2 linked regions of the Oryctolagus cuniculus genome follow. Each later gene encodes a partner of the first gene's protein in a complex. Links are inferred from orthologs where the notes say so. Each region holds a gene or a part of one and is shown in the gene's direction. Other genes may lie near its edges.

Region 1 (5,732 bases):
AGAGGGGCAACCGGGACAGAATCCGGCGCCCCGACTGGGACTAGAACCCGGTGTGCCGGCGCCGCAAGGCGGAGGATTCAAGCTTTAGTCTTGAAAGGTTCTCTTCCAAGGCTCTCCATTTTGTCCTCTTGCAGCTACTTCTTGTGTAACATTGCAAGCATTTGTCTGAGCCAAGTTGATTGTCCTCACCAACACCTTCTTTGGTTGGCGTTCTTGATGTCATTTGTACTGAATGCCTGATCGTTTACTTCCTGTCCCATTTTATGTGTCACTTCAGAAAACCACACCCCATAGGTGCCTAGGCTCTCCTTTGTCCTCTGCTTCAAAAGCACCCACATGTGAGTGTTGTATCATATCATAGCAACATGACCTGTGTTCAGAGGAGGCAGAACCTTTTGGTTTGTGGAAAACACAATGCTCTTTTGTCACTACAGGAGAAGAGCTCTGAAGAAACTAACTGGGGCTCACATACAGAGCTTTTGTCCTTCCCTTGTGCAAGGGCCACATTAAGTAATCCCAGAGATCTCATAAAATCTCAGTCAAGTGAGTAGAACTTTCAACAGAAGATAGGTAGAGCAGGAAAAACTCGGGGACTTAAAAGATGACATTCACGGGACAGGCGGCTGTCACTGCTTGGGACGCCTGCCTGGTTTGAGTGCTGGTTCCTCTGCGTCCAGTCCAGCTTCCTGCTAATGTGCACCACAGGAGGACGCAGATGGTAGCTCGGGGACTTGGGTCCCTGCCACCCCTGGGAGACCCAGGTAGAGTTCCAGGCTCCAGACTTCAGCCTGGCCCAGCTGGCTGTTGTAGGCGTTTGGAGAGTAAAGCCGGGATGGAAGATATTTCTCTGTCATTTTGAATACTGTTTCAGGTTATATCGGTAGCTCTGGTAGACAGATGAGTTCAATCAGTTCGCTGTAAGTTTTGTAGGAAACAAGCCATCTGTCTCTTAGAGACAGCAGCCAGAAGAGGTTTTCTCAGCTCTTAGGTAAAATTTCTAATGAGAAGTTATCAGCAGATAGGATTCCCCAAGTGAAATTGCCCAACCTTTTCCAAAGCAGAATGACTGAAAACACATAGCAGAAGTGCTCATTCATATTGGTTATTTTTTTCAATTTTTCTTCTTCTTGGGGAAAACAGTGGAATTTGAGCTCCGAAGAGAAATCAAGAGACTCCAGGAATATAGGACAGCGGGCATTACCAATTTTTGTAGTAAGTATGTTTCGATCACATGGTGTATCAGAGAGCAAGTGTCTTCCAGACGCATCCAGGAAGTGTCTGAGGTATTGTGATACTTCCTTTAAAACAGGCTTTTCTTTTTCAGAATGAGTTTTCAATCTTTCCAGTAAACTTTCATCCCATTTTATCCATATAAGCACCATTATTTGGTTATCTGAAGTAGAATAACAGTCATGATATAAAGAAAAGAGATGTTGCTTTAGATTTAGGATTCTGCCATGGTTCCTAATAAAAAAGAGTTTTATATTCTAGGTTTTAGCCCCAGCCTTTCTAAGTGTATTAACAAAGTTTTATTAACCAAGCTTTGGATGGCTCTGGTACTTGCATTCCAGTTACTTGAAGTAATAGGAGTAATTGTATTAGTAGCAGCTAACATCTGTCAAATGTTTACTGTGCACCAGGCCCTATGCTAGGCATTTCACCTGGATTATGTCTTGGAACTCTTATGACCAACTCATGAGGTACTGTTATTTCCATTTATTGAAGAAACGAAGGCTTGAAGAGATTAAAGAGCAAGTAAATGTTAGAGCCAGTTCATCAGGGAAGGCCATGTGTTACTACAGTACTTTGAGGCTAGAGGGCTACACTTGGACTCTCCTCTTTACTAGCTCTGTGATTCTGTTCAAGTTTCAATTTCCCAAGTCTCAAGTTGGTGTGAAGATTAAGTTAGAGGTAGTGTAAAAATGTGGCTCAGTGCCTGGCACACAGAAATCCCCCATAAATGGCAATTTCTGTTGTTCTGCTATTATTGTAGGAATGATCTTGAGCATTCACTCCCTCTTCCTGTTTGAAGTCTGAGACTTGAAAGCTATCATCTACTACCCACAAGAAGTAGCTGTGTTTCTTAACATAGCCCTGTGGGTGTAAGTTCAACAATTCTTTCCTTTTAACAGTGGAAACCATGTTTGAAGTGAAATTTTATGTGAAGCTACAAACTACAAATAGGTCATAAGTGGAATTACTTTGGTTGACATTTGATGTGCCACTTATGAATGGAGCCCAGGACTCCCAATATTTGGCACTGACTTTGCTCTTCAAAGTCACCTCGTAGTGTCCTGAGGCTCTGTGTGACACGGTTGGAAACCCGTTGTTACGGTGACCTTTGTGAATGTGGAGAAAGCATCCCACAACTCTTAGGTGCATGTAGAGATGGATGCTGAATTTCAGTTACCTTCTGCTGGTGGCCTCTGGCAAGTATGGGATAGAAAGTGGTGAGTGGGCACTTTTGTTTAATTCTGATTGGTTCTGAAGGAACAGCTTATGCTTATGGCCCTTGTGACTTTGAAATAGATATGAATTAAAAAACCCAGAAAGCAAATATGACAGTAGTCAAATTGCTTTTTTAAAGTGGAAATATGAGTATTATTTGTGCTTTTCTGGTTCCCTCCTCTCCTCCAAATTTCGTAAAGGTAGAACAGGAATAAAAATATTTCAGTTAGTATCAACAAAGGGATTTCAGACTAGGAGAACCCTGCTTTTGCTCTTGGAAAAATAGCTGTGAAAGCAGTTTTGCAAAGAAAACCAAGAAAAGCCAAACAGGAATCCCCGTAGCTCTGCTGCATTGTCATTGTGGTCATCGTATTTTCTATGCCTTCAGGTGCCAGGACCTACGATCACTTGAAGAAGACACGAGAGGAGGAGCGTCTGAAACGCACCATGCTCTCCGAGGTTCTGCAGTACATCCAGGACAGCGGGGCATGCCAGCAGTGGCTCCGCCGGCAAGCCGACATGTGAGCAGTGCTGTGAGCTCCTCCCTGGTGCTGTGAGCGCACCGGTGCTGTGGAGCCCCTCTCGGGCACCCTGCATGCAGATGACTGCAGTCCCCTCAGAAACAGGGCAGTCCTAACAGTTCTGAGAAGTAGAGCTGGCTTCCTGGGATTCCCCCTTGCTACGTTGCTCTTACTTTTAAAAATGAGTGGGTTTCCCTAGCCTCCCACCTGGGCCCTCTCCGCCTGGATATCCATGGTGTGATTCCCATTGAGAATCGTCCTGCTAACCCTTCCCCGTGACGATATCAGTGGCGTTCCAGGGGTAAGAGCTCTCAACAAATCCAGGGCTCCTTTTATTTTCCCTCAGAACAGATTTTCCTTCCCGGTCAGTGTAGTGAGATACCCTGGAAAACATGATGTCTTCAGAGTGACCCACCTGAGGAATGGTCCCCAACCCCATAGGGACTTTGGAAGTTGTCTTTTGACCTGAGTCTAAATTCCTCTTCCTCACTACAGTGATTCCGGCCTGAGTCCTTCTGTTCCAATGGCTTCAAATTCAGGTAATTATTTCTCAGGCTGGAAATAGTCTTGATGGTAAAGTCTGCATTATGGGGGTGATGATGACCCCAAAATCCCACCCAGTGTAGACCAAGGCACTCAGGCAAGTCCAGTTTGTAAACATCTGCAGGTTTCTGGAACCTTCCCTGGGCAGAAAGGAGTGTCCTCAGGGTGAGAGGACAGAGACAGAGGAAGGAAGAACAGTAGAGAAGGTAGCTTCCTTATTTTACCAGTGTCAGCGGGCAGTCAGTTTATGGCACTTGTATCTGCCACACACTCTGGAGATTTGTCTTGCAGGAGATCAAAGGTTTGTATCCAGTATGAGCAAACAAACTGTGTTACTTGCCAGAAACTTGAGGATTTCTTTTCTTTTTTTGACACGCAGAGTTAGAGAGGAGAGAGAGACACAGGGAAAGGTCTTCCTTCTTCCGTTGGTTCACCCCCTATGGCCAGTGCTGCACCAATCCGAAGCCAGGAGTCAGGTGCTTCCTCCTGGTCTCCCATGGGGTGCAGAACCCCAGCACTTGGGCCATCCTCCACTGCACTCCCTGGCCACAGCAGAGAGCTGGCCTGGAAGAGGGGCAACAGGGACAGAATCCGGCGCCCCGACCGGGACTGGAACCGGGGTGCCGGTGCCGCAGGCGGAGGATTAGCCTAGTGAGCTGCAGCGCCTGCCGAGGATTTCTTTATAAATAAGAAGCTTAAGGTTTTTCTGTTTCTTTGCTTTACCTCGCTGGGTATGTCCTATTTTGAAATAAGTTTGTAGAGCAGGATTCAGCTGGCTGCTATCTGATGATCTTGGTGTGTAGTGATCAATGACTAGGAATTTGGAAAGATTATAGTTATAAAATTCTGACCCAAGATCATTGACCACTTGTTTGTTTATTTAGGATTTATTTATTTATTTGAAAGGCAGAGTTAGAGATCTTCCATCTGCTGGTTCACTCTGATGGCCAGAACCAAGAACTTCAGCCAGGTCTCCCATCTAGGTGGCAGGGGCCCAGACATGTGAGCCATCTGCTGCTGCTTTTCCCAGACCATTAGCATTGAGCTGGATTGGAAGTGGAGCAACCAGGACACAAACCAGTGCTCGGACGGGATGCTAGCATCACAGGCAGCAGGCTTCCCCACTTCACCACAACACTGGCCCCTTAGAGTGCTTTGCACGTTCTCTTGGTGGTCATCTGCCCCTGCTCCATATGCTAGATTGGCCATTTCTCCTAATTAGAACATGCAGACATTCTGCTGAGCAGAGACAGCAGAGCCGTTTTACCCATTCTCTGGCAGCTTGCAGCAGCAGAGCTTCTGAAATCTCTCAGTAGACTGAGGATCTAGATGGGACTCAGGTAAGGTCGCTTCAGGAGTTTTTTGGTTTTCTCCTTTTATTCCTCTGTTGTAAGTAATTACTCTTTAATGCTTAAGAGAGAGAAGGGAGACTTTTTACTGAGTCACCAAGACAGTGAAATCCAAGTTTTATTTTGTAAATTTCTTACTTCCAACCTAAATACAAAAATACAAATAACTTACTACTGGTTAATTAAAATGAATGGCTAACATGATCATTCAGCTCTGGTGTTTGAGTTTTCTGAACCATCTGCACTCAGTCTCTGTTTCTTACTGGCCTGGCATGGGCTTCCTCCACTCTGCATTTAGTGTGAGGAGACCCCTTGGTCTTTTATGCTCCGAGTTGCTCTTAACGTCATGAAATGTTAGAAGCCTGGCATCACTGACTGTATCCTAACCTCTGGTGACTTGGGACTTGGGAGGCACCATGCTATTGTACTTCTTTCTGAGCATTTGGGATAAGCCCTCATTCCCTTTGTTAGTATTCCAGAGAGCCCTGGTTTCCAAATGATCAGCTTATAGTGGTGCCTCCCCTTCTGCTGCCCCACCTAAAAGACATCCCCTTTACAGCTGGTGAGCGTCCTACATACTCGTTTGCTGAACTCACTCTGTCCATCCCCAGCTAAATCTTAATCCCAAACACACATTGAAAACAAAACCAGAACAGTTTTGCACATTCACTTCCCATCTTGGCCTGGCCAGTGAACTTCTGCTTGGGTTTCTTTCTCAGCTTGTGTGAGTTGACCTTAGCCCAGCTGCTTTGCCGTATAATGGCTCATTGTTCCTGGGAGTGAATCTTTCAGGTAAACAGGGCTGCTTTGGAATGAACAAATTCTCACTCACATAATAAATAAAGGCTTTTTGCTGGCCTAACAATCTGCC
Region 2 (6,181 bases), on another chromosome or scaffold:
GCCTTGCTCAGTTGCATTGGGTGGCTCCACATCCCAGGGAAATATTCACAGAGGCCACTAGGGGGCAGGCGTGAGACAGTTCACAGCAGCTCCGTGGTACCCAGCCCGCAATGCAGACATGCATAAGTGCAAATAACTAATCCGCGAATTAAGTAAGGACAGATCTCAACAGAGTGCTGAGTGGAAGAAGAAAGAAGGAACGCGAGGGTTAGGATACCGTATAAGTGCGTTTAAAATGCACACAATAAACAATGTACGTGGTCTTTTTTAAAAAATTTATTTACTTATTTGAGAGGTAGAGTTAGAGAGAGAGAGGTCTTCCATCCACTGTTTCATTCCCCAAGTGGCTGCAATGGCCACAGCTGGGTCAGACTGAAGCCAGGAGCTTCCTCTGGGTCTCCCACGTGGGTGCAGGGACCCAAGGACTGGGGCCATCCTCTACTGTTTTCCCAGGCCATAGCAGAGAGCTGGATGGGAAGTGGAGCAGCCGGGACATGATTTAGTGCCTGTATGGGACGCTCATATGAGATCCAGCTTCCTGAAAATGCCCCTGGGAAAGCAGCAGAAGATGGCCCAAGTGCTTGGGTGCCTGCCACTCATGCGGACGGAGTTCCTTGGTCCTGGCTTCAGCCTGGCCCACTCCTGACTGTTGTGGCCATTTGGGGAGTGAACTAGCAGATGGAAGATCTCCCTCCCTCTCTCTCTCTCTCTCTCTCTCTCTCTGTGTGTGTGTGTGTGTGTGCGTGTCACCCTGCCTTCTAAATAAATAAAGGTTTTAAAAATCAATTAATGGCCGGCGCCGCAACTCACTAGGCTAATCCTCCACCTGTGGCGCCAGCACACCAGGTTCTAGTCCCAGTTGGGGCACCGGATTCTGTCCTGGTTGCCCCTCTTCCAGGCCAGCTCTCTGCTGTGGCCCGGGAGGGCAGTGGAGGATGGCCCAAGTCCTTGGGCCCTGCACCTGCATGGGAGACCAGGAGAAGCACCTGGCTCCTGGCTTCGGATCAGTGCAGTGCACTGGCCGCAGCGGCCATTGTGGGGTGAACCAACGGAAAAGGAAGACCTTTCTCTCTATCTCTCTCTCTCACTGTCCACTCTACCTGTCAAAAAAATCAATTAATAAATATATACTTTCCTAGGGGTTGTGTAAAAAATTGTGATGCTAGGCCGGCGCCACGGCTCACTAGGTTAATCCTCCACCTTGCGGCGCCGGCACACCGGGTTCTAGTCCTGGTCGGGACACCGGATTCTGTCCCGGTTGCCCCTCTTCCAGGCCAGCTCTCTGCTGTGGCCAGGGAGTGCAGTGGAGGATGGCCCAAGTCCTTGGGCCCTGCACCCCATGGGAGACCAGGATAAGTACCTGGCTCCTGCCATTGGATCAGCGCGGTGCGCCGGCCGCAGTGTGCTGGCCGCGGCAGCCATTGGAGGGTGAACCAACAGCAAAGGAAGACCTTTCTCTCTGTCTCTCTCTCACTGTCCACTCTGCCTGTCAAAAAAAAAAAAAAAAATTGTGATGCTATAATGTGGGGCAGGCGTTTTGGCTGAGCAGTTAAGAGGCCACTTGGGCTGCCCACATCCCACATCAGAGAACCTGGGTTTTGGCTGGGCTCTGCTCTCACTTTCAGCTTCCTGCTAATGTGCACGCGGGGAGACAGCAGATAACAGCTCAAGTAGGTAGGTCTGTGCCACCCACGTGGGAGACTTGGATTGAATTCTGGGCTCTTGATTTCAGCCTGACCCAGCCTTGGCTATTGCTGGCATTTGTCGGGTGAACCAGTGGACGGGATATATCTCTGTATCTCTCTGCTTTTCAATTAACATAAATAAATAAAGTTTGCAAAATACTATGACCGCCTTCTGATGAACTAAATATTTGCATGTGCATATCCTTAATACTTTGGGAAGACTCCCTGAAAGCATGATTTCTGGCTCTAAATATCGACATGTTTTTTAATTAATCCTTGCTTTTTAAAAATCTGCCTTTATTTTTCCAGAGCATTTTTAGGATCATAGCAAATTTGAGCTAGAAAGTTTCCGTATATCCTGCCGTCCCCCCAACCACAAGATGCTCACTCTTAAATTGCTTTGCTTTTTGTTTTAAAATTGAGGCTTTTTGAGAAGACGCTAAAATAAATCAATAATAAATAAGTCTTGCAAAATGAAGTTTCAGTTAAGAGTTGGGCACAGGTGTCAAACTAAAAACTACATTTCCCAGGGGGCAGCGCAGCACGTCACGGCGGGAGGGTCGCGCCTGCGCAGACGGGTCCGCCGCGCTCGCCTAAGCTCATAAAAGGGAAAAAAAGCGTGTGTGGTTCTCGACGTGCCGCGAATCTTCGAACGCGAGTGCGTTAGCATCCGCAGGCTCGGAAAAAGCGTTCGAGGGACCGCGCCTGTTTCTCCGTCGCTGTTTCCAGCGCGCCGAGGTTACTTCGCCCGGGACTCGGCAGGTGGGCATGGGTCAGGCCCGCGGCCGCCGGAGAGGCTCGGGAACCAGGGCACCGGGTCCTTCCTGCGCGCCCCCGTCCCCCGTCCCGGCTTCGCCTGAGGGGGCGCTCGGTGGGGTGCGGCGCGCACGCGCCCTGGGCGGGAGAGGCGGGGTTCGGCTCGCGGCCGTGGCGGCGGGGCCCGCGGCCGGGCGGCGTGGGGTCTGCGCGTGCGCCCTCGGGCCCCGGGGCGCGAGAGTGGGGAGCCGCGGCGCGCGCAGGTGCGGTGCTCGGCCAGGTGCGGCCGGGCGAGGCGAGGGGCGCGGCCGGGACTGCAGCATCCTTGCTGAACCAGTGCCAGGGTGGGGCAGCGCACCCGCCAGCCCGTCCACTGTCCTGACACCTGCAACCACCTGGTTTGCGCAGGTGTGTCGCCCAGGGCCAGCACGCTTCCTCCTCAGAGCCTCTAGCAGCAGCGCCCGTGCGTGGCGGGAACGCCTCTCCCCTTGTCCCGCTGGCCGCCCCTTTGCTTTTAATGCGTGTCCCACCCCAGAGCTGCATCCCAGATCTCTTCTCTGTGGCTGTCCGCTCCCTAGACATTCCCGATTGACGCTTTAAATACCCTCTGCGGTCCTGCCAACTTCTTGGATGCCTGTCTTCAGCCCGTGGACTCCCTGCGGAGCGCGCTCCCTGCTTTGAAATGGCTGCTTGGCCTCCCGGAATGTGTCCAGAGCTAATTTTGAGTTTTATCCTTTGCACATCGGTGCCTTCCCTCGTCTGTCTTGTTTTTCCAGCTTCTCGGGCTGGAAAGCTTGAGCTATGCCTGGTGTCTTTGCGTCTCAACTCCCCTCCTCCTCCATCCATCTCAGTCAATGTTGATTGAGGCTTTGAAATTTCGCTACTTGATGGGTAGCTGTGGGCATCCTCTTGGCCAGCGGCTGAGTCCTCTCTGACTGGGGTTTGTTTTTTTGACATCTGGCATCATTGTATGTTCAGACTTGCCTGGTCCTTTTTTGTCTCTTTTAGTGCTTTGTGTTACCTGCAAGTAAGTTTTTGGAACTGTGTTGTATTCCTTTCTGGACTGTGTCCCAGGTCTTCCATTGCTGGTTCACTCTCCAAATGGCCACAATAGCCGGAGCTGTGCTGATCTGAAGCCAGGAGCCAGGAGCCAGGAGCCAGGAGCTTCTTCTGGGTCTCCCATGTGGGACTTGGGCCATCTTCTACTGCTTTCCCAGGCCACAGCAGAGAGCTGGATCGGTAGAGGAGCAGCCGGGTCTTGAACCAGCGCCCATATAGGATGCCACCACTGCAGGCGGAGGCTTAGCCCACTACGCCACAGCGCTGGCCCCTCCTTGTTACTTCTAATCTGTCAAGGTTCTCCAGGGGCCAGCACATGGCACAGTGAGTAAAGCTGCCGCTTGCAACAGCAGCGTCCCACATGAACGCCTGTTTAAGTCCTGGCTGCTCTGCTTCCCACCCAGCTCCCTGCCAAAGCACCTGGGAGGCCAGTCGGTAATGGACCAAGTGCTTGGGCCCCTCCCACCCACGTGGAAGACGGGGATGGAGTTCCGGCTCCTGGCTTCAGCCTGGCGCAGACCCAGAAAGCAGCCATTCGGGGAGTGAACCACAGGTGGAAGATTTCTGTCTATCTTTTCCTTTCTCTCTGTCACTCTGTCTTTCAGATAAGCAAACAAATTTTTTTTTTTTTTTTTAACAATGTTCTCCAGAGAAACAGAACTGAACAGTTCTCTGTAGTTAACACAGAGAGAGATGTGTGATGATGGCCTGGGTCACAGGACGGTGGAGGCTGAGCTGCCGTCCATGACTCAACACCTGCGCATTCGAAGCCCAGCAAAGCCAGTGCCGTTCCAGTGCAAGCCCAGAGGCCTGAGAACCAGCAGGCTGGGCGATGCCCATGCTGGAGGCACCCTCCCAGACCCACCTGCAAACAGTGTCTCACCAGGCAGGTTGACACATAATAGGCACCATCACATTTTCCTGTCTCTTTTTTAGTTGCCATGGTGATCACCATTTTTCTGGTGACACTTTTGGTATAGTCACAATAACCGACCAGTTGATGGGTGGTGTGTAAGAGACGAAATGCTCCTACTTCTGTGAGTTGTTTTAGGACTGAGCACGTTGAAGTTGTGGCAAAATTGGAGTTCAGAGGAAGAGCGTAGGTTTTAGAATTGGCAGCCTTGTAACCCCACCTCAACTGCTTTTTGCTGTTACCTTGTTAAACGTAACCCGTCTGAACCATTTTTTGGTTGGTTGGTTTTTTTTTTGTGTTTTGTTTTTTTTAGTATTTATTCATTTATTTGAAAGGCAGTTTTAGAGAAACAGGGAGAGGTGGAGAGAGGGGTCTTCCATCCATTGGTTCATATCCCAAATGGCTGCAGTGGCCAAGACTGGGCCGGCTACAGCTGGAAGCCTGGAACCACATCCAGGTCTCTTCCCAAGTGGGTGCAGGGGCAGGTACCTGGGCCGTCTTCCACTGCTTTCCTGGGCTCATTAGCAGGGAGCTGGATTGGAAGCAGAGCAGCTGGGACTCAAACTGGGGCTCGTGTGGAGTTGCTGGTGTCACGAGCAGCAACTTAACCTGCTGCGCCACAGCGCCGGCCCCTCCCATCCGAACTTCTACCGAGAGAGTGTAACCCTTTCCCGTGCTGTCCACGCCTTCACCGTTGTGGCTCCGTGGGGCTCTGGCCTCGCTCAGCAGGTAATCTCTGGTCTAATCCGTTCCTGGGGCCTTAGCTGCTCATTCTGATTCGTCCGCTTCTGGTCTCTGATCTAGACTGCAGGTCGTTACTTCACGTGCTTCTAGCCAGTACAGCTGGACGTTTCCAGAGGGACATGTTCTGCTTCACGTGAGATGCGTTACGTAAAGCCCTGGTGCTAAGCCATGTAGGAAGAAACACATTGGTGTCACAGGCAACTGAAGGAAAAAGATAAGTTGGTGCAGCCAGCATCGTGGCGCAGTAGGGTTAAGAGATCAAATCGGAGCTGCTCCACTTCCTAGCCAGTTTCCTGCTATTGGGCCTGGGAAGGCAGTGGAAGATGGCCCAAGTGTTTGAGTTTCTGCCGCCTGCATGGGAGGTGGAGATAGTTCCTGGCTCCTGGCTTCAGCCTTGCCCAACCCTGGCTGTTGCTGGCATCTGGGGAGTGAATCAGTGGATGGAAGATTCATACCCCCACCCCATCTCTGTCTCTCTCTCTGTCACTCTGCCTTTCAAATAAATAAATCAGAAGACATATTGGACTTTATATTAAAGATATGTGCTCCCATGGATACAACTCAGTAACAGAGATAACTGAACTTGAAGGTGGGCAGAGGGCCGGCCTCCAGAAGCCATACATACACGGCCAGCAAGTGCATGAGAAGGTGCTGCATGCCCTCAGCCATCAGGAGACCCCCCCCCCCGGGCCCCCGAGGGTCTGCAGTCATGGAGACAGCAGCCTGGGGTGGCACCCACACGGCTGCTGCCAGTTCTTCTGTGAAGCGTGGAGTTGCCACGTGATCCATGCCCGGAAGATGGAAGCTTACGTCTACACAGAAACCTGGCTGCGTGCATGTCAGCGTTACTCAGAATAGCTAAAATGTGGGCACCACGCCTGTCCTTAGACTGATGAATTATAGACAGAGTGTGAGGTAGGGACTATTCAAGACAAAATGAAGTGCAGGAGAAGCAAATCAAGAGAGAAAGTAGACTCATGCTTGGCTGGGCCCGGGCACCTGTTTGGTTAGCGCGTTCAGAGTT

The links.
Region 2: TADA2A (region 1) and SGF29 share a complex: the UniProt entries of both Homo sapiens proteins name them as parts of the ADA2A-containing complex. The link is inferred for Oryctolagus cuniculus from reciprocal best matches to the Homo sapiens genes TADA2A and SGF29.

The regions. Positions count from the first base shown.
Region 1 is NC_091448.1:38,177,454-38,183,185, forward strand, and holds part of TADA2A (transcriptional adapter 2-alpha), read left to right. Parts: intron 1-1,140; coding exon 1,141-1,212; intron 1,213-2,836; coding exon 2,837-2,969; intron 2,970-3,464; coding exon 3,465-3,508; intron 3,509-5,732. UniProt on the Homo sapiens protein: Component of the ATAC complex, a complex with histone acetyltransferase activity on histones H3 and H4. Required for the function of some acidic activation domains, which activate transcription from a distant site. Binds double-stranded DNA.
Region 2 is NC_091450.1:7,540,600-7,546,780, reverse strand, and holds the start of SGF29 (SAGA-associated factor 29), read left to right. Parts: upstream 1-2,228; 5' UTR 2,229-2,447; intron 2,448-3,658; exon of another isoform or gene 3,659-3,824; intron 3,825-4,941; exon of another isoform or gene 4,942-5,142; intron 5,143-6,181. UniProt on the Homo sapiens protein: Chromatin reader component of some histone acetyltransferase (HAT) SAGA-type complexes like the TFTC-HAT, ATAC or STAGA complexes.